3 linked regions of the Lytechinus pictus genome follow. The main gene of each other region encodes a partner of the protein of the gene in region 3 in a complex. Links are inferred from orthologs where the notes say so. Each region holds a gene or a part of one and is shown on either strand. Other genes may lie near its edges.

The links. Proteins that work in one complex are often made in the same cells at the same time.
Region 1: protein CWC15 homolog (region 3) and cysteine-rich PDZ-binding protein-like share a complex: the UniProt entries of both Homo sapiens proteins name them as parts of the minor spliceosome. The link is inferred for Lytechinus pictus from reciprocal best matches to the Homo sapiens genes CWC15 and CRIPT.
Region 2: protein CWC15 homolog (region 3) and E3 ubiquitin-protein ligase RNF113A-like share a complex: the UniProt entries of both Homo sapiens proteins name them as parts of the minor spliceosome. The link is inferred for Lytechinus pictus from reciprocal best matches to the Homo sapiens genes CWC15 and RNF113A.

What each region holds. Positions count from the first base shown.
Region 1 is NC_087251.1:29,280,796-29,288,252, forward strand, and holds the start of cysteine-rich PDZ-binding protein-like, read left to right. Parts: upstream 1-4,445; 5' UTR 4,446-4,814; coding exon 4,815-4,830; intron 4,831-7,457. UniProt on the Homo sapiens protein: As a component of the minor spliceosome, involved in the splicing of U12-type introns in pre-mRNAs. Involved in the cytoskeletal anchoring of DLG4 in excitatory synapses.
Region 2 is NC_087247.1:22,149,248-22,156,717, forward strand, and holds the start of E3 ubiquitin-protein ligase RNF113A-like, read right to left. Parts: upstream 3,013-7,470; 5' UTR 2,998-3,012; coding exon 2,905-2,997; intron 1,993-2,904; coding exon 1,894-1,992; intron 1,315-1,893; coding exon 1,207-1,314; intron 45-1,206; coding exon 1-44. UniProt on the Homo sapiens protein: Required for pre-mRNA splicing as component of the spliceosome. As a component of the minor spliceosome, involved in the splicing of U12-type introns in pre-mRNAs. E3 ubiquitin-protein ligase that catalyzes the transfer of ubiquitin onto target proteins.
Region 3 is NC_087260.1:19,048,653-19,056,675, reverse strand, and holds the start of protein CWC15 homolog, read right to left. Parts: upstream 3,032-8,023; 5' UTR 2,920-3,031; intron 2,775-2,919; exon of another isoform or gene 2,687-2,774; intron 1,675-2,686; 5' UTR 1,644-1,674; coding exon 1,513-1,643; intron 1-1,512. UniProt on the Homo sapiens protein: Involved in pre-mRNA splicing as component of the spliceosome. Component of the PRP19-CDC5L complex that forms an integral part of the spliceosome and is required for activating pre-mRNA splicing.

The DNA of each region.
Region 1 (7,457 bases), on a different chromosome or scaffold from region 3:
TTCAAGCCTTGGCCTTGGCCTTGAGGATTTTGAGCCTTGAAATTTCAAGGCATTTTCAAGGCATTTTGTATTATGTACTTTCATTTGTTTTATAAGTAATTATAAATGTTTCAGTTTTTTTTAAAATATTTAATGACACTATAATGGTCAATACTACCAGTCACCAGTAACATTAGCAGCAGCAGCAGTAGTAAGTGTACTAGCAGTGTCATCGATTGTAATTGTCACCATTATCAAGAATTTTCAAACAAAGAATACATCAGTTATGAAAATTAGCATTATGTATTGGTAATGTGTTGTAATCATGACTAATGATGATAATGACAGTAAATAATAATGATCAAGATCAAGATAATAGTGCTTTGATGACAAGAATAAATTTGACATCTGACTGCAATTTTGACAAAAATGTTCGTACTTTAAACATAGCTAACTCTAAAGCACGATAACAAGGTTGATTTCTATTCCATTAGGATTTTCCTTGTATTATTTTCTTTGGCCAACAAGAATGTTTTAAGTCTTCATGATATTCTGAAAAGATTTGGTAAGCTTGAACACAGTCTTCAATTTTGTCATATCCAAATGGGTTATGTCAATGGCATGATGAGCCAGAAACTTTGAGGGGCCAAGCATGGCATATAGAGCAACATTTCTGTCCAAAAAAAAGAAGAAAGCGATTGAAGCGAGCGAGTGAACAAAATTTGTCCCCCTCTTTCTATAGGAAAAGCTAATTTTGCGATAGATTGTTTAAAAAATAATATCACATTTACTCCATCTTTTCCTTTCCCTTCCCCCCTTATCTAAGTGTATTCTTGGTGGTAGAACTTCTTCTTCTCTCTATCTCTTTTCTAAATTGTATATTTGTTTTGGGTCAGATTGACAAAACAAAGGGGGAAAATGTTTACTTCTTTTTAATCATATATCGTTCAACAGTGAATTTCATTTCTCTACAGTTTCAAGGAAATAAACAACGTATTTGTTTTTGTGTCAATATGGTTTCAAGAAATAATGATTAATAAAAAAATAGTAATTGAATAATTAATTATTATTAATATTATCAACAAGTATTAATGATGGCAAGACATGTCCTAGGCCGCATACATTCGTAATTCCGAAGCTTCGTTATTCCGAAGGTTCGGATATTCCGAAGGTTCGTTATTCCGAAGGTTCGTATTTCCGAAGGTTCGTAATTCCGAAGGTTCGTTAGTCCGAAAAAGAAATGAGGTTCGTAATTCCGAAGGTTCCTTAGTCCGAAAACGAAGTGAGGTTCGTAATTCCGAAGGTTCGTTAATCCGAAAACGAAATGAGATTCGTAATTCCGAAGGTTTGTTAGTCCGAAAACGAAATGATTAACGAACCTTATTTCGTTTTCGGATTAACGAACCTTCGGAACAACGAACCTTATTTCGTTTTTGGATTAACGAACCTTCGGTACATCGAACCTTATTTCGTTTTCGGATTATCGAACCTTCGGAATAACGAACCTTCGGAATAACGCCACAAATGTTCGGATTAATAAAGGCAATTTTCGTGTTTCGAAATTACGAACCTTCGGAATAAAGAACCTTCGGAATTACGAACCTTCGGAATTACGAAGTGTAACCGTGCTAGGCTAGGGCTAGCTTAGGCTAACGCATTAACTTTACCTCAAATCTGGACCTGTCTAATGCCTAATACTAATAGTAATAGCCGACTAATGCCATGGTTTAAAACTTCGAACCAAATTCCGAACTTTACGTTTGATTTTATTTAACATGGTTTAATATTTCTAGTCCGTATACAGAACCAGTCCTAGATCTAAAAAATATCTTAGTTCTAGTCTAGTCTCTAGATCTAGACTCTGATCTACGCTGTATCAGCATGGAACAACTAGTGTACCAAGGGGGGGGGGGCGCAGACTGCCCCCTGACAATTTACAACTGATCCAGGGGACGTGCCCTCCCCCCTTTGAGAAGCCAAATCAATAATTTGTAATGTCAAAATGCAACAGAAAAAGACTTATGTCCCCTCTTTTGAACGTGAAGATCTTTTTTTTTTTGCTTGTCAATTATTTTTCAGCTAAGAAATCCTTAATTTGGGGGGGAAGACGGGGATCAAGATCACTGACGTTAGTTTGTGCCTGACGTTATAATACGTTCCATGCAATGCAGTGGCGTAGCTAGGATTTTTTTTATGGGGGGGGGGGCACTGGGGGGTCCTTGCTTTTTCGGGGGGGGGGGGCCACCGGCCATTTTTTCCGGTGTGTGTGTATGTGTCACGAGGGCGGATCGGACTTTCGCCAATAGGGGACGGGGCCCGAAATTATTTCACCTATGTTTTCCCCGATCAGTCACTTCTTAGTTTTATTCTTATAAAACAACATAAACATGAAATAATCTCATAAGCCTTATAAAAAGTGTGAGCACAAAGCGCGAGCTCAAAAATTTGTGATATTCCAACCTGAAAACTGGACACTCTAAGCATTTTTTTTTGTGAACGGGAAGAGATCGAGTACAATAATTGATGCGAGTGCAGGAAGCCAGCCAAAAATTTGTGATATTCCAACCATTAAGCAACATTCTATACATTTTTGTTACCATGAGCAGGATTAGTACTGTACTAAACAATAATTGATGCAAGCACGATTCAAAATCTGTGATTTTCGAACCTAAAATGTATTATGTTTTATTATTAAAGAAGGTATATTTCTTTTTTAAAAAGGGCATATTTCATTTGGAAATAAAAATCCTACAGGGATTTTTTTTTTTGGGGGGGGGGGGGGCTAGAGAGCACAAAACGCAAGTTAAAATTTTTAAATGCTTAAACTGAAAATGAGTCATTTTTTAGGACTCTTGTCAGCTTTCTTTTTTTTTCTGCTTACAACCACTTTTAAATTTCAATTCTCATTTCTTGTATCTTCTACACTTATTTTACCTTAAAAAAACAGAATAAAGAATACTAACAAAATAAAGTTATATTCAAAAGGATATAAAGTAAACAGGGCGCACCCCATACCCTTAGTTGGGAGAGGGTAAATCTTAATTATTTCTTTAAACAGTTAATCAATCATTAATTATTAATACTTGTTGATAATATTAATAATAATTAATTATTCAATTACTTTTTTTTATTAATCATTATTTCTTGAAACCATATTGACACAAAAACAAATACGTTGTTTATTTCCTTGAAACTGTAGAGAAATGAAATTCACTGTTGAACGATATATGATTAAAAAGAAGTAAACATTTTCCCCCTTTGTTTTGTCAATCTGACCCAAAACAAATATACAATTTAGAAAAGAGAGAAGAAGAAGTTCCACCACCAAGAACACACTTAGATAAGGGGGGAAGGGAAAGGAAAAGATGGAGTAAATGTGATATTATTTTTTAAACAATCTATCGCAAAATTAGCTTTTCCTATAGAAAGAGGGGGACAAATTTTGTTCACTCGCTTGCTTCAATCGCTTTCTTCTTTTTTTTGGACAGAAATGTTGCTCTATATGCCATGCTTGGCCCCTCAAAGTTTCTGGCTCATCATGCCATTGACATAACCCATTTGGATATGACAAAATTGAAGACTGTGTTCAAGTTTACCAAATCTTTTCAGAATATCATGAAGACTTAAAACATTCTTGTTGGCCAAAGAAAATAATACAAGGAAAATCCTAATGGAATAGAAATCAACCTTGTTATCGTGCTTTAGAGTTAGCTATGTTTAAAGTACGAAAATTTTTGTCAAAATTGCAGTCAGATGTCAAATTTATTCTTGTCATCAAAGCACTATTATCTTGATCTTGACCATTATTATTTACTGTCATTATCATCATTAGTCATGATTACAACACATTACCAATACATAATGCTAATTTTCATAACTGATGTATTCTTTGTTTGAAAATTCTTGATAATGGTGACAATTACAATCGATGACACTGCTAGTACACTTACTACTGCTGCTGCTGCTAATGTTACTGGTGACTGGTAGTATTGACCATTATAGTGTCATTAAATATTTTAAAAAAAACTGAAACATTTATAATTACTTATAAAACAAATGAAAGTACATAATACAAAATGCCTTGAAAATGCCTTGAAATTTCAAGGCTCAAAATCCTCAAGGCCAAGGCCAAGGCTTGAATGTTCAAGGCCAAGGCACTACAACACTGATTAGTACTAGGCATTAGACAGGTCCAGATTTGAGGTAAAGTTAATGCGCTAGCCTAAGCGAGCCCTAGCCTAGCACATGTCTTGCCATTAATGGCAGCTAGTTTGAAAAGTGTTTAAGAATTGGATATATATAAGGCATATGTAACTATGTAAGAGTACCGGTAATTTGACGATGCTAATATTCATTCTGAGCAACTGAACGTGAATGCTTACGACCAGCACTGGTCGAGGCAGAGTCCACGCGCATGCGTACTCTTAATCCGAAGACGCAAGTCATGAATATTCATATGTTGGTCCAGAACTCGGTGGGAAAAATAATTTCGCCCCCCGGGCGCGGCCCCTGTGAATATTGTGTCTCGCTCGCTCACAAATTTTAAAATTTTAACACCCCAAAATCTACTGAGATATTGTTTGAAAATTAATTTGAAAAACACTCCAAGCAGCTTTTTCTAAAGTCTTTGTTTACAAGTACCATGGCATATTCGGTTGTATTCGAAAGAATACCACTGACTGGTCATCACTGGAGAAGACAAGCTCCTCGAGCGATTTGATGAAGTCCGCCCTCTAGCGATTTGAGCAGCACAAAATATCTGACAAAACAAATCGTCTTTCGCTCTTCCTGAATATTCGGCTTCTTGTCTTTCAATGAAGTTTTGATAGATTAAGATGGTGTGCGAGAAATGTAAGTAGACATGCCGATGATTTCGCATTTTATAAATTATATCTATAGTAGTGAAGTTTCATTGTTTAAAATTGAAACTCACTTTTTTGGCCTTTTTTGTAATGTATTTTTGGTTTTGGTTTAGGGCTTAAAGTTAAACACTACACAGTTTTCAATATGTGGGCAAGTGGAGTGATAGCGGATCCTTGACTTTGAGTTTGTTATTATTGTTGATATCAATGACTTGTAAGCTTCCTGTATTTCAAGCCTGTCTTTAAGGAGAAGTTAACCCTAACAAAAAGTTTATTTATAAAACTAGCAGAAAAAATAATGAAAAATATTGCTGAAGGTTTGAGAAAAATCCATGTCCAAAACACGAAGTACCGTCCATAGTCGTACTCGTAGACGTAGTGGTTTTCAGCAATCCTACAAGAAGCCACCGGGAGTTACACTTACAGGCTTGCGCCTTCATCCTGTACCAGATGATGATGATGATGATGATCAGTCTTGTAGTCGATTCACCATGGTCCGAGTCCGAGTCACCAAATTAAAATGTCATATTTTAATTTGTTTACTTTAAACCTTTTAAAATTACTTTAAAGTTTTAGTTTGACATCATACAATCAATCAAAAACAATCACTCACCCAATCAACAATTGTCAATTGATTCAAATCAACAAATACTTTATCAATTACAATTAAAGAGAAAAAATGACAAAGTAAAGGGAAAGCTGTTGACTTTGAGGTAAATAATAATTTATGTACAGTTATGAGTTAACTCTGCGTAAGTCGAAGTCGCATAAGTCGAATAATCAGAACATCCAGGACTCGTTTGCAAATATCAGTGCCTGCAAGAAATACAACATAATGTGTCTTTGATGCCACAGGGTCTTACCCATTTCAAGATTTTACAAAAGCATGAACAATTTGTTGCTCTTCATTCAAACATCATTACATCAATAGTACCATCTTTACAAATATGTTGTGTACAAAATTTGTAGAAAATGTATTACTCTAAACAAATGATACCAAATGTTCCTACTTTATTCAATATCATGTGTTAAATATCAATGAAAAAATTTGAAAACTTCAAGATGTAAGAATCTCAGAAACAAGGATTTTATATCTTAAAAAGAAAAAAAGAGAGAAAGAAACAGTTCAACTGAAGTGTGATTTATAGACTGCCGAGTTCGCCCTACGATACAGCCTAGTTACCCTTGCACTCGTATACACAATACATGCAGCTGCACAGTGCAATGCAATGATGTGCACAGCTTTTAGCGTTGAGGCAAATCATGGGCAAATCAACTTTATTATCAATCGTAGGATATACATTTTCCATGAAATATTATTGGAAAAATACTTCAAAATAGTGAATAATACTGACTATTAAATTCACCAGATTAGTATTAAATCTTCCTGCCTCGAGCCGAGTCATCGAGGCCGCATGCTACGAGGACGAGTCCGAGTCACGGCATTACGAGGCCAAGGCAGAGGACTGGCAAAGCCTGCCTCGAGACCTCCAAGACTGATGATGATGACACAAATTTGAAAAAAAGTCACTGAGTCTGAAAGTTCAATACTGTAGGGAGTGTAGAAGCTAGAGATCTAGACTATTACTTAGACCTTAGTATTTGAATTTTAATGATATGATTTGTGACGTCATATGCTAGCAGCTTTACTACAGTACACATTGTATGGAAAAAATCAATGAAATGAAATATAATTTTCTCAGAAAATTGAAAATGTTTTTTACGGTATGTTCAGTAGACAATAGACAAATTATTTCACTCCCAATTCCCGTTCCTAAAAATGAAATAAAAATAAGTGAGTCATCACAGACCATTATTTAAAAAAACTTGAAATTCATGCATTTTAATTTTTATATTACAAAACATATGGGACAGCTGTTCGTTTATGTCACAGATCCAAAACTTAAAATTCTAATAACTTTCTTAATCTTTCAAACCTTCACTGATATTTTTAATTATTTTTTTCTGCTATTTTTACAACAAACTTTCTTCCGGGTGAAATTCCCTTTTAAGTTTAACTTCAACTTTATTCTAAGTATAGCTCGGGTACCCCCTCCCGGCCTCCCCCAAGTACATCGAGGCCTATCACTGCACTTTTCCATTTCATAAATGTCCTAATACTGTCTGTATTGATGTGAATCATGGAAGGTATGAAAATGAATTTACAGTCAGTAGACTCGTATCTAGATCACTCATTCAATGAACAAGGTCTAGATTTACTCGATCATTTTGGTAGGGTGCCCAATGGTATATCTGCAATTTCCCCCTTTTTTTTCACATGATATGAAACCTGGTTCAAGCAAAGAATGGGCTGAAAATATTCAAGATGTAGATCTATTAATTGTATCTTTCTTTGTTTCTGATAATACACTAACTTAAGTAAATGTTTACCTACTTTCGTTTAACTACATGTAGTGTTCAACTTCAAGGAATCAAGTATTTTTTAAGAAAACATTGCAGAGAGAGAGAGAGAAAGGGTGCTAGATACAAAAACCAAGCCAAATTTTAATTCTAATGGTTGAAGAAAGACTTAATGGTCACTATACTTTTGTAAGGTTGGATTGTTGGATGATACACAAGTATAATTCACTTTATTGGCCCTTTAACTTTAAATGT
Region 2 (7,470 bases), on a different chromosome or scaffold from region 3:
TTGATTCCTCTGTACTTCTTGTCATCCTCCTCTCCTTTCAACTCCTACATGAGCAGAAAAAAACAGTGAAAATGATAACCATGTCCTGTCTACAAGACATTGACTGTGCTGTAATGAATAAAGAGTGATTAAGCTGCATTTGATTTATGGCGGTTTCATGGTGTAGTGGTTCCTTCTCTTCATCAGAGGGTCAAACCCTATCCCTGATTCTGATTTCCTTTAGGCAGAGAAATTCATCCATATTGGGTTGCACTTAAATAACCTGACTGAGGCAAACCGGGAACTGGCAGGAATTTTTTTCTCGAAAAGCAGACTATAAAATCAGCTCTGCTAAAGACAATATATATGTGCTGAATTGTTGTACAATGATTAGGGAATTTTCTGATGCAGAAAGTATTAATCCCAATATATTAAAGCAAGTATAATCTTCTCTTGCTGATGAATACAAATCTTTTGTTTCATTGCTTGTATGGGAAAGCATTTGAAAGTTAGGGACTGTAGGCTACTCTTGGTATTATTCCCTTACTTTCCTACTGTTTGCCCAGCCAATGGGCGAGCAGGCCAAAACATGGTTGGGGCAATAAATTTTGACATTTTTGTGAGAATGAATCTGCATTCTGGGAATGGAACCAGGTGCTACTTGGCTCAGGCTTAAACTTAATGATATAAAGTACCAACATGGGGCTCTGGCCAAGGAAAAGAAGACGAAGAAGAAAAAAGAAAATGAAAATAAAAAAGGATCAAATATATCATTTTTCATTATTATTGTCAATATCCATCGCAAAATTAGATTTCCAATTTAGTAAGACCAGAATTTTTGTTTGCTCACAACTTTAAAGATATTTTTCAATATATGCCATGTTGTCCTTAAAATTTTCAGCTCATTTTGCCACTGTAGAGTATAATGAAAAAACCTTGACACACCAAATTGACACAAACAGCTTCATGCTGGCCCAAGCTATTGCCAAATGCATACTTAATATGTCCCATTAAAATCAATGTTAATTGGCCGGTTTCATAACTAATTGGAACCAGGCAAATTTTTACACTGATTTCAATGGGCAAAGAAGGCATTTATACAGTCATATCTTGGGCCCCCATGGTCCTCTTTTATCAAATATGGGTTGTGATGTAATCGCTCCTTGTTCTATTCAATGTAGCTGTGGCAGATTGGATTGGAATAGTAATGCATTATTCTTTGCATACCTCATTGATCTTCTTCTGTTTCTCAAACAATGCCTGTGCATCTTCATTGAAATCTGTATCCAGGTTATAGGTTGCTGTAGCACCCCCATCTTCTGGTCCAGTTGGTTTCTGAAAAGTTAAGACCATCAATAACTCAAACTTTAAAGGAATGTAAAATCAACCCTTTATCCTGGGAAAAAATAAAATCAATGCAGGCAAATCTACTGAACTCAAACCTCTTAGCATCACAGAAATCTGCGTGATTTGGGTGCAATTTGGCTTGGAAAATTCATTTACATTGTATATTCTGGTTTGAAAAATGCTTAGACTTGGGCAAGCTTTTATGAAAGGATGACTAGTGAAGACTCTGCTGAATCTGTTCTTCACTCATTTCAAATTGCTAAATCACCTCAAATTGACCAAGTATTTGTTCAGGAGTCAGGATAGTTTCAGAGTAATTGTGAAGTCAGAAGTCAATGATTTAAGATGTGGAGACAGGTATGAACTGTCATAATTAAAAATAATCTCTCTCCTCCTTCGATAAGAAATGTAAACATAAGATGGAGATGCCATTTTGATAAATAGCCAACAAGTCATCAAAGATGAAGCAAGACAAGTTTTATCATTTTATTTTGTAATGTATGAATATTTCGTTAAAATCATTTTAAGAATGATGAAGTATTGAATGACAAATAATTGAATACTCACAGCGGATCTACTGGATTTATAGCTGACCATCGTATCCTTAGATTCATCTTCACTACTGTCACTGTATTTGATATCTTGCTTCTCACTCAGTTTCTTCGTCTAAAATAAAGGAAGATATTCATATTAAAATCTTTATTGCAACTACTCACCCCTCCCCCCTTTAATACCTGCCAAACTGGGGTAATGATAAAGTTTGTCTTGGAATTAAATTTTATATTTCTTGCAATAATCAGTAATAGGTGCGGTTATGCAAATCTTGGGATCAACCTATACTTGTGAATGCATGATTTCAAAATACTTTATCTTACATTAATTACTTTTCATAATCACTTATTTTAAATTTCTTTTCATTTAATTACTATCTATTCCACTTTGCAAAATAATTGGAAGAAAAATGATTAATATGTAAACAAACTGTATATAAAAAATGTTAAAGGAAAAAAAACAGCAAATTACTCGTACAATTGGAAAAGCATACATGTGTACAAACTACAGTCCAATGAATTTTGAATTTCAGATTGCTGTTATATGAGAAGGCTATATCTTTATCATTTCCTTTAAACTGTTTTAATGAATTACATGTTCCTTTATTCATTGGTTGTACAAGTGTTAGTATAAATTAGACCCAAATTTTTACTTCAGTAGTACAATTAGCAATTAATAATTCCTTTAAATTAGCAATTCCTTTTAACTGTTTTAATGAATTACATGTTCCTTTATTCATTGGTTGTACAAGTGTTAGTATAAATTAGACCCAAATTTTTACTTCAGTAGTACAATTAGCAATTAATTAATGAGACTTTCATTCCAGAAGAAATGTTGCCATACAACAAACCTATACCTAGCCATCAAGCGAACACAGTATCAAATTAACATCTCTCCTGAAATGATTCCAGAGTATGATAGACTTTTACACTAATTTTTACAAATCTGATAAACAATGTACAAGGGAAATATAAAAATAGTGAAATAGACAAGTCAATTGTTGGTACAAATGCCGAATTGTATTACCTTTTGTCTCATAGGATTTGGAATGGCTTGTCTCCTTTCTTTCCTTACAACAGCACTCTCATCTTCATTACTTCCTATATAACAAAAGAACATAAAAGGAAAATAAGAAAAGCACTTTAAAATAACTTTTGAACATATAAAGAAATATCAAATCAGGGCTACTGGTGTAAATAATCTACTGGAATGAGTCAGAACCATTCTGAATCCATTATGAGCAAACTTACTTGATATATGATAAGTCACATAGGAATGCATACAGGGTTTATAGGCTAGGTGAATAGTCAAAATGACTATCATGACTCATGAAATGTAGAAATGAGTTAGGCAGACATAACAATTGAAAATGAAGTGCAAGTAAAAACTAATCCAGACTACTTTAAGGGGAAGTCTGCCACAAAAGAAAGTTTATTTCAATAAAATAAAAGAAATCAAACAAGAATCAAAATGGGATGTAAAAATACAATACTATTTCAATATTTTGCTTAATATCACAAGGGCATATCAAAGGGGGTGTGGAGGCAATGGCGGATCCGGGGGATCCGCCATTGCTAAATTACATTAAAGTTCTTGCATAATTTTAGCATTTGAAATTGAAACAAGAGTAAAAAAAAGAGGGACAGTGAGAATTAAACCAAATTTAGAGAAACACCAAGGACAATTGAGCCTGATTGAGTGCAATTTTGATTGGCATGTCATTTTGATCATTCGGCTGATGCCACAACAAGCTTGCAAACGTACCCCTCTCAAATTGCACATGTCGGGTGTTCTTAAACAGCGGCGTGTGGCTATATCGACACCAACGTTATTGGATACAGCCACAAGCGGGTAATTGCATAAAATTATTTTGGATATACTATTAGTGAAGTGGTTTACTACAGGTGGCATGTGCAACTGCACTAGCACCTCTCATGCCCTAGATGTTAAGCACTCATTAGCACCTACCACTTTGAATAAAATGTAATGCTTAAAAAAATGTCTCCTAAATGGAGACTCAAGTATGTTTTTCCTTTTCAATCTGTCACTCTTGACTTTGTCATCGTATATTCAGAGCAAGACGTAAGGACTAAATCTGGGCACAACGCAAGGAAAAATTGGTGAGTTTTAATCCAGTTTTCATATATATATACCTTTTGTATTATATTTGGGTGGCTGTCCCAAAAGGCACTCTTCCTACAGTAACTAAACCTAAAAATTACAAAGGTTCTATGTTAAATATTACGGGAAACAGCTTAACAGGGCATTTTCCCACTCCTACTAACAATGGGGTCAAAGCATAACTATTGACCTCATAGGCGACAATAGCGCAAATAAGGGGTGGTGTATTTGTAGAAAGTCGGCATCCCCGTAGCAACACACAAATGCACACAAAGATGGGGGGGGGGGTGAATTGTCTAGTGATTTTATATTTTTCTTTTAATTACAAACATTTTTAAAGTGAAATTAGTTCTTGTATATTTTTGATTTGATTTGATTTATTTCATTTCCACATTTCAAAACAAAAACAAAGAATATACAAGTATAATATTTTTTTTTCAATATTACATAATAGGCAAATATTTTTTTAAACATAATGAATAATGCACATAAATCATTATAAAATATCAACTGTACTGTGAAAATTATATCTATATATACATTTTCTTTAATTAATGAACATATATATATATAGAAATGTGGGAGACCTCCATCTTAAGCTTGGAGCTTGAAAGTGATGGAGTCCTCGAAAGGAAAGTTAAGATATCACAAATTATATCTAATATGAAAATTTTGATCAAATATCTGTCGATTTCATAGAATGGTGCTTGGAAATCTGACAACTCTTGCAGGTTTCATTGAGGTCCCATTGCCACCTAGTCCATGGGCAATGCAAGTCACTCATCCAATGTAAAATGTATAATGAATAACCTTGTCCTCTGTTACAACTCCCTGTGTGGTAAAATAAGGTTGGCAATGTTTGGCTTATTTTCTCTTGTTCTTGGACTTACACTTTTTACACTGTCAGTTTCTATTACAGCTATTCATCATATAACTTGGCTCTAACTTAGATTTACTTCTTTTTTCAAAATTAAAAAGAGATTGTTTGGTGACAATTCAGACCAAATTTATTTCCCACCAATAGAGGGCCCACACCAAAATATGCTCAAAATAAAGTTTTTGAGTGCTCTGGTAAATTAAAATATTGATCTCCAAGTTAGTAATTAAAAAAAAAAAAATCATAACTGTATAGGACTGTATGAGTATTTTGGGTTCCAAAAGTGATATTTTATAGAATTTTTAAAATGTGTTATATAGTCTATAATATGTACATTCACCACAGGCAGGGTGGTTGCAGTGAACAAGTTAAAGTGATGTAAGTTTTGTTTTTGTCAACATGTACGTTCAACTATAAAGGGGGAGACTAGGTTAAATTATAACCTCGTGTATAGGATGATTGTAGTTAAGTCATTATAAAAGACCTTTTCCAGCAGTCCCATACAGTTATACTTGTTATGATTGTTCGTCGAGTCCAGTTTCAGCTCCGCCTTCGGCCTTAATCGAAGCTCCGACTCCGACTTGCTTATGACCTACATCACTTGTTGACAACAACCACCCTGCCTGTGTGGTATCTATGCAGTAATACAACACACATATTAAAAATTCTAAAAAATGACTTATGTTTACAAAAGATCATGCTCGAAATTTGACGGAATAAAGCCATATTTTGGTATGTATTTCTACTCCCCAATCATATGTTCTATATTAGGGCTAGATATATTATTCTGAACCTTCTCCATGTTTTTATTTTTAATTCTAGTGGGGGTGCATATGGAACTCTTGCTAAAAAACAAGCTCCTGGTAGTAAGTAAATAATTTCCATTTACCATATATATTCAACATTAATTGTACCACAGAAACACACATGACTTTTATTTGATTCAATGATTGCATGTTTGTTTTGGTCCAATTATGCTGAAGACAGAGAAAATAAGCCAAACATTGCCAATACTATTTCACCACACAGGGAGAACAGAGAACAAGTTTTTATTATAGGCTTGTTTATTGAATGAGTGACCTACATCGCTGATTAGATTCTAATACACCCATGGGTTCATTTCATCCCGCGTGCGAAGGAATATCAAATGCACACGACACATGCAAATCTTTCATGGGCTTTTGCCCAAATAAAAGATTATAACACTAAAGCTATAATTTCACATTGTGCTATGACACTTATCGAACAATATGGATCCTTTTTTTTTAATGTATTTTTTCTTTATCTTCACGTAGATGCCCTTTGATCAGCGACAAAATCAAATTTGGCCTAAAGAGGGCGCGCAATTTTATTTATAAGCCGGTTTGTTTACGGTACTGAAGCTTGTACTGCTAGCTGCATTCTAGACGCCCAGCATTATTTTCTTGCTCGTTCAGTCCACTTTCATCATCATCTTGTCAAAAGATGGCGTACTTCACCTATAAGTATATACATGAGATGCACTCACACAACATGTGAGGTTAGTATTACTAACCTCGCACAACGCATGTGATTTCATAGTGCATTTTGACGTTTTCATTCATCACACGAATGTGAGGGACTAAAACACGCCAAACCTTTAAATATTTTTCCACTATGTTAATCTTGATCGTATGATTTAAGTTCATTGTAAAAAGGAATTGGAAATTATTTATAAAAGTGTTTTTATCGCTTACCTCCAAATCTCAACCACGATACTTCGTTCGATCCGTCCTTAGTCTTCTTCTTCTTCTTATGTTGGTTTGAGTGGCGATTAGTCATATTTGACTATTGTCGCCATTGACATTATTAATAAAAAATCTCACTTCTCACATAATAATATTATTACCAATATGATGTATACATATATAAAATATTTTTTTTGTATCCTTCTGATATGAAAGAGGATAATTATGATATGTACAAAAGTTTGCAGTAACTCTTGTCAAAATGGCATATAAACAAAACTTCACCAAAAACAAACCGCTATCTTCAGCTCAGTTCCAACTAGTTGCGCTTGCCCTGCCCTTTCAAAGATGCAATCATACCGGTCAGCACGGTACATTGTGCCGATTTTTCGGACATAAATGCCTAGGTCACCCATGCATAGACGAGGGGGCGCTAGTGTACCTGTGCTTACAGATGGGTTAAACATTAAAATAATTTGTTTCTTTTTTTTAAACAACAACAACAACAAGGCGAAAACACTTGTGGGCTTTGTTAGTTATATGTGCAGAATATATCATATTGTATATATTATATCATACATTATTATGTATATATATATATTTTTTCTTCTTTTCACATTAGACTTGTACAAGCATATCCATTCATATTTCTTATAGACAATACAATATTAAAATAGTACATCACTCCTTACTAAAACGTTTCGTTCTTGAAACGAAACGTAAAAATGCTTTCTGTATCCCTGGGTCATCTTTTTTTAAATACTCCATTATTTGTCCTGGCTGTGATTCATTCAATTCTACAAGGAGCATTGATCTTTCAATTATATATTTTGGACAATGTAAAAGATAATGTCTGACAGTTTCTACCTCAGGACATCTATCACAAAA
Region 3 (8,023 bases):
GACTTTGCTTTACGATAATGGACCTTCATGCCACATCTGAAGATGATCGGAGAAGAAATGCAGCTGTTAGAGCGCTTACAAGGACATCTCTGCTATTTCCACAAAAACTTGTTACCATGGCAACGATGTCTCTGCCCACACCAAAATCGATAGGCGGCTTCGCGATACCACACTCAACCTTCATGCTACATTTGAAGATGATCGGAGAAGAAATGCAGCTGATAGAGCGCTCACAAGGACATCTCTGCTATTTCCACAAAAACTTGTTACCATGGCAACGATGTATCTGCCCACACCAAAATCAATATGCGGCTTTGCTTTACCACACTCAACCTTCATGCTACATTTGAAGATGATCGGAGAAGAAATGCAGCTGGTAGAGCGCTCACAAGGACATCTCTGCTATTTCCAAAAAAACTTGTTTCCATGGCAACGATGTCTCCGCCCACACCAAAATCGATAGGCTTCTTCGCTATACCATACTCAACCTTCATGCCAAATTTTAGAAAATACACTCATATCTAACTCGATACAGTGTACAGACACTTAGGCCATGAGAAGTAAGGTATTAGATTTGCATCCGAAAATTTTTCAAATGGCATGAGGCTTATTATTCATTATCTAGCGCTAGCGGCCGTGTACATTTTGCTTATTACATGACGTCATCCCAGCCACTGCATGCCGAGAGCCAATTTATGAATGAAAATATAGTAAGCATGCGCATTGCATTGCAAGCCTTCCATAGCCCCACACAGTATTCCACCAAAACAAGTGTGCAATTCTCTATCACCTCGTACCAAAATCGACCTAGAATTTCACTTTCCTATATTTTATATGAATTATGAAAGGTATTCTCGGAAGATCTATTTTCTCACCGATACCGCACAGGTAAGTGAATTTCGATTACTTCTTGCTTTTCGGTCAAAATCTTACGAATTAGCGTCGATATGGCATCGGGTTCGTTGGAGTTTGTAGAGTCTATCGCAACGTGTACAAAGTCAATTGATTTCCGGGTTTGGGAGCGTCGCGTGAATATGCATGAAATTACTGAGTTTCAATAATTTTTGATCGATACTGGAGCGATCCGATCACGAACCAAGACCATTTCCCGCGAAGACCATGTGACCGGATATCGTTATCGCTTTCGATACTTTCGCACGCAGTCCGAAGGAATTATTTTGGCGACCACGTAGTCATGACGTGTTCTGCGCGATTGGCCAATCAGCGATCTCCGATTCGCTTAGCCGAGACAGTCTATCCGTTGTACACAGTCTATGGACAATTTGCCACAGCTAGCTTGCTGTGCGAAGATCGAAGGTGCGCTGCAGTGCTATACCGTATGCACGTAGTAAGTGCGTATTTACTGCCCTGCGATGATTTGGAAATTGTAATTTCGTAATTTCGTGAGTAAGTAAATGATTTTTTTTTTTAATAATGAAATTTTCGTGCGGGTGGTTTTGGAGCATGCGGGCGGTGGACGCAAATCTAAAACTTTCATTCTCTTGGCTTTACCTGTATTTCAACTTTGTATGCCCTGGGAGATCACGACTGGAATACTGCTTGGATAGAGCACTCAAATCCCCTTCTCCTTTCCCACTGCCTCCCTTTGCTGGGTTGAACGTTGGTCGTGCTGCTGTTGTCATCTTCGGCTATCTATCCTTCCTTCGTCGACTACTGAATTTGATATCAGAGAAAACATGTAATCTGGTTACACTAGAAGCAGAGATTAACCAAGTAAACACAAAACATTTTCAGAAAGTTTTAAAAAATAAAATGTCTTCAAATTCTTTAGGCACTTTGAAAACAGCAAACTTACATGCTACAAGGGGCGGTTACAAAAAAGTTGCAAGCAAAGAAAAAGGTCTCCAAATAAGTAAAATGTGATACCAACCTAATTCATGGCATTTGAACCTCCATCTGATACAATTATCTTACCTTACCAAAACTTGTACACATGTGACATGCAATACATATTTAGACAGATAGAATCTAATCATAATTTTTTTTTAAATCGGACTAAAATTGTATAAGAGTAACAAATTTCAGGCATTTCATGTGACGACCTAAAAATGCAGCCTTTCTCGTCAAAATCCCTGAATCGTGTGTAAACATAAAGTGAATGGATCATTGACATTGGTAGACCAAAAGCTTCAGTCTCTGTATTTTGGTTGTTCCGCTGAACTACGTTGGCTCCACTCACCATACATAAATGGGTAAATGGGGATTACAGTAAAATGTCAGAAATTGTTGAATAAATCCCCAGAAACGACGGTTATTCCTGTCTATGACATTGGGTGCAGTGCGCGCACGCAGGCATTTGTTTTGTACTTCAGTTAACTTCAAGTCAAACTGAAATTTAAAAAGAAATGACTGGCCAAGGTTTTTTCCAAGAAAATCACATATTTCTCTCACACTTTTTATGAATTGTTTGGCAGACATACGGTAGGTGACATGACACCAATTTCAATGTATGGGACTGTAAATGATTTTTTTTCGTGATCTGATACCAAGCAGGGAGTCATTAAATGGATCAAGCCAAGGTAATGCAGGTGTTATATTTCTGTACAATTGCGGGAACATATGTGGGAGGTAATGCATTCATACATGTAGAGAGGGTTATGAATCTATGAAACGAGAAGCATAAAGAATAATTAAATCTATAATTTAGTTGTGAAACTCCACTTACCCAAACTAAACAAAAACGCAATTTCGCAAGTCTGGCTATAATCGAGTCGCGATTGGCGCCATCTACAGGTAAAAATGTGAAGTACAAATTTCGACAAAACGGAAATACCGTGGATATCACAAGAAGAAGAAAGCTAGAAGACATTTTTTTTACTTTTCAAAGTAAATTTTATTTACAATAAAAAAAATTTTACAAATAAAAAATATGTTATCAATGTTGCGCTTTACACTTACAGTGATCGCATTTCAACCACTAATTACGGGTAACATGTAAAACAACAATTAAGCATGCATCGATCGTTAAAAAAAAGTAAGCATAATAGTTACAGGCATTGATTATAAGAACAAGAAACTGTGATGCCACCTGGCACGAGTGGAGGGCAAATAGGACTCAAATATAAGAGCCGCTAAAAAAGAGGGAGATATATGTACAACTATCAATGCATAAAAAAATCAATAATATTAATGCAAAATATACATACTTAGATTAACCATCATCTAAAATGAAAAGTTGTTATAAGACTTTTTTTTCAAAAGCCAAATTGTTCTGTACTTTAAGAAAAAGGAGAATATTTCACCGGGAAAAAGAGAAAAGGGAGAAGGAGTGAAAGGGGAAAGGGAAAGGAAGAAAAAAAGAGGAAAGGGGGAAACTAAGGGAAAGGGAAACGGCCAGGTGAAAAGACTAAGGGACAGGGAGAAAGAACATAAATAGGGAAAATGGAAGGAAAGCGGGAAAAGGAAGGTGAAAAGAAAGTTCAAAATATCCTGAAATACTAATATATTAGCATGATTAGCAAGAGAGGGATATAAAATAAAAATTTAAGATATGACTCAATGATACGGGCAAGAATGGCGGGAAAATGGGAGAAAGAGACAAAAATAAACGGGAAATGAAGGTAGACCCAAAATGGCTAAATTGGAAAATCAGAATATGAAGAAAATGAACAAGATAAAAGAAAGAAAAGAATTTAATAAAACGACCGGGCTGCCGAGAATAGAAAAATATTGAGAACGGGAAGAAAGGTGGATGGCGTCTATATGAGCATGCTAAATTTAATGCAATATGGTCGCAATCAGGACAAAAAAAATAATACTAAGGGCTAGTTATTAAATCCCTCTATGTCCTATAACCTAAGTAAAGCTTTATGCTGGGTATCGAAAAAAGCCTCATAATGTTTGCTATTTGGCTATAGATTTCCAAAGCTACTATCACATAATTAGAATTTCATTTCAAAATCATTTGAAAAGGCCAAATTTGCTATGCTGTGCTGCCTCAAAATATTTAGTATATTATCCGCAACTGCGTTGAAGTTATGTGTTTTTATGTGTATATACCCGCGATTTGATAAAAAAGGTAGCCATCTGCAATGTTTAAAAACATCATGGTAGAATTATCCTTAATATTAATAATCGGTCACATGTTTCTATTGACTCAATTCATGAAATAATGGAATGGCAAACCCTGAAGTCTAGGCAAAACTTTCATATTCAAACAATGATGTTTAAGATCCTCCATGATTTGGCTCCCAAATATCTAACAAAATACATATTTTACACCTCAAGACCTTACCATTTTCGAAAAAATAATTTGTGCCTCCCCAAACCCAGAACTAATTATTGCAAACGCACATTTTTCTATAGGGGGACTAAGTTGTTTAACAGTATCCCAAATAATATTCGTAATTGTATGACCTTAAATTCTTTTAGATCAGCGTTGTCACATTTGAGACATTGATTTCTTTTTTTTGGGGGGGTGGGGTAGTGGGGTAGGAGTAAGCAAACTGATAGTGATTTTTTTTTTCTCTCTCCTTTCCTTTTCTTTCTTCCTTCATTTCCCTCTTTTGTCTTTTCTTTTCTGTTCTCATTTTCCGCTCCCTATATGACTCTCTTTTTACTTGGTCCCCATGGAAGACCAGCCGCACATATAATTGGTGCAGCTGAATATGGGTTATCCAACCGTCTCCTGTCTTAAGTTTGATCTTTTAACTTTCTTAACATGTTTCAATCAATCATTTTTTTTTCTTTTCTTTTTTTTAATCAATGTTTAGAATTCATTTCATTATGTATGTGTATGTTACTCCTTGTATCTCTTGTTTATATATTGTTATGTATTTTTTATGACGGAAATAAAACAAACAAACAAACAAACGAGGTTCCGCCGCGGCGGCGGCCCCAGACATAGTGACGGACCAAGGGGGAGGCACGGGGGGGGGGGGTATTTGCCTTCAATGAGTTGGCCCCCCACTTGCTCCCCCCCCCAAAAAAAAAAAAGTAGAATGTTGTCTAAAGCTGCAAAGTGCTCGATCAAAACAGCTTTTTCGTTCTTTATATTTTAAAAACTTTCTTATCCATTCACTGTATATAGCTCAATTGTCAACATAAATCTTTCAGGCCATAAAAGTATATAAAATTAAAATTTTCGCTCGCGCTACTTGATCTCAGTAACTGTTGACTGAGATCATTTACATGGGGCTTAAAAGTCCAGTGTTCAAGTCAATATGCTCCTCGCGACTAGAGTTTTTTAGCACTGAGATGATACACATCCTGCGTATTCATAATTTTCATAAATCAAAATCAAATTATTGTTTAGTAAGATAGCCATTCAGTTCATGATATTATAAAGTGCTTCGTCCAGTTATCATCTCAGGATACCAAAAATTATCAGCTCGTGCGCTTCGCGCTTGCATTATTTATTTGGTGAGATATCATCTTCATGACCCAATGCAAACAGCTATATACAGTCCCTTTTAAAGCCAGGGCCTGCATTGAAAACAATCAGCTCACGCTTCTCGCTCGATTTTGTGAAATATAGGCAAAAAATCGTGTTGCCCCCCCCCCCCCCCACCAATGCCACACTGCCCCAAACTCTGATCCGCACAGCACTGGCCCCCAAAGGTTCTGCAACCGAGAAAAAAAAAAAGATGAAAGGAAAGGATAGGAAGATTTAAAATAAATTATGATGCTATTTTCTGAATACCATGGGCGGTATCAATCAAAATCAAAGTTAGATTCATGAAAGGGTGGGTTTTTTTCTCGCTATAGCTCGCTTCGCTCGCTCGAGACTTATATTTGTGTATTTGTATATTTAGTAGCTTTTGCCTCAGGCGCGCCTGGCTCTTTTTTTGTACTTATCATTATACGCTTCGGGCACAATCATAAAAAAAATATCCTGTTCAGACCATGATAAATCATGTCCGGGAAATTTGTTGCTCTTGCCCCCCCCCCCCCCCCCTCACCTCTCTAAGAGCAGTTCATGATTTGTGCTCGCATAGTGTGTTTTGAAGTACCCTGACGGTAAGTTGTTCTTTTTTACAATAATAATAAAACAAAACAAAAACGTGCTTAAAATGTTAAGCGTGTTTCAAACTGGCTCCGGCTTTGCCCTAACCTTAATAGAATGAGATAATGATCCTCTGCATGACTTACTGCAAATTGAATTAAGCCATGATCATTACAGATCTATTAATTTGAAGTAAAAAAATACATAAATAAAATAATAATGAAAATTCAGCTCGATTCAGTGCTCATATTTTTTTACTTCATGGTCCAAAAACTTAATGTTTTCATGTTATTCACGAAATATCCGAAATTGGAACTCGGCTTTGCGCTCGCATTTTGAATTAGGGGTTACATCACCTTGTTTGTATAATGATAATGTGGAAATGTACTAAAAAAACTTAGGTCTTTTGTTGCCTGGGAATATATAACCCTTCAAAATAAAAAATACTATCTACTACCACAACTAATAAGCTTTTATAGCGGCCTATCGGGGAAAATGGATGAAAATATTCACCAGATTTTCCTAAAGTTAATTAATTGCCAAGGTGAGTAAAACTTGAAATTATAGGACAAAAACATCTGCAAAGTATATATGCCAATTAAGACAACTCTTAATTGGCGTGCGGAAAAAGTAAATTTCAAAAAATATTCAGAAGAAGGCCATACTATCTTTGTTATAATCAAAGACCAAATTATCAACTGGTGGATCGAGCAGGCGGGCTGTCGATCCCCTCTTTCAGCTGGTTCCCTGATGAGCTGTTAACTTTGCTTTCACATCACGTCCTTGAAGGACTTCTCCTGTATAGGTTTTCCGGTCTTTACTTCAGGTATATGCTTGACGATTATCTAGCCGACAGTTTAAATTTGTAAAACTTCCCGCGTTGAGAAATGGAGGTTTTAACCCCCCCCCCCCACATAATTGTACAACAGATGTTTAAACCTTTCCAAATAGAGAAAAAAATAAATCAAACAAGCATAATAACGCAGTTTATCAAATCGGATGTAAAATAAAAATTAATAGTGATTTTGATGAATGATTTTCACCATCAAGCTTGTTTGATATCGATTTTTTTTTCGGTATCAGTTGTTTAAATCAACTTTGGGTGGACTCCCTTTTAATAATGTCCCTTTTTTAATAACAATAGATGCATTTGAGATCTGCCCCTATAGGCCTATATACCACCGTCCCCGGAGTTATGTAGTCCTAGAATTATAAACCTTTAATTCTCTATTCCAGTCCAGAGGATGTCCCGGAGGATCATGCCGCATTTCATGTGCAACAAATTATGAGAAAAATGTCAAATAGCTAGCTATAACGAGAATATTAATGCTCTAAGTCTTCCGAATAAAAGTAATTTTCTTAAAACGGAAACTTTCAATTAGCACCATAATATCCTTTTTGCATTAATTTTTATTGTAAAAGCAAGGAAGAGTTATTTGAATGTTGCCCTCTACTGTTCACTGATACCGATAATTTTGGCAGCCTAATTTGATCGTGAACTTATTATTGTTTATGGAATATTATAAGTCCTGACAGCTCAAATAACTCAAAAGCAATGTTGACCACAGCTATTATTTGGCTGTAATTTTTCAGACTTCAAATATAGACCGAAGAATTTGGTGAGTACCTGATAATTCGCCGATTAAATGGTTGTATTCCGAGTGATATTCATATTGATGATATTCGACTGTCACTGTCGTGTCGGTTGATCGATGAAGAGCGGTGATGATCCAGCAAGTACCCCGGAACTGTGGGCGAGGTAACCCAAGAGGCTCCGCTGAGCCTGAGACATGCATGCTGCGCTGGCCGCGCCGTCGTGTGGGAGGACTATTTTGTATCCCTTAAAATCGCCTTTCATGGTGTTTATGGCTTATGTCTGCTCCCTTGTCTCCTAAAATTTGCCCAAATTTGCACCCCTAAATAGCGTAATGTATGGCAGTGTATTATAGGTATGTGACAAAAAAAATGAAAATCATCAAATATGAATAAATTTGGTATCACTTGAAAGCTCTTAAAAAGACCTTTAAAATGATACCAAGAACTTTAATTTTCATCAAG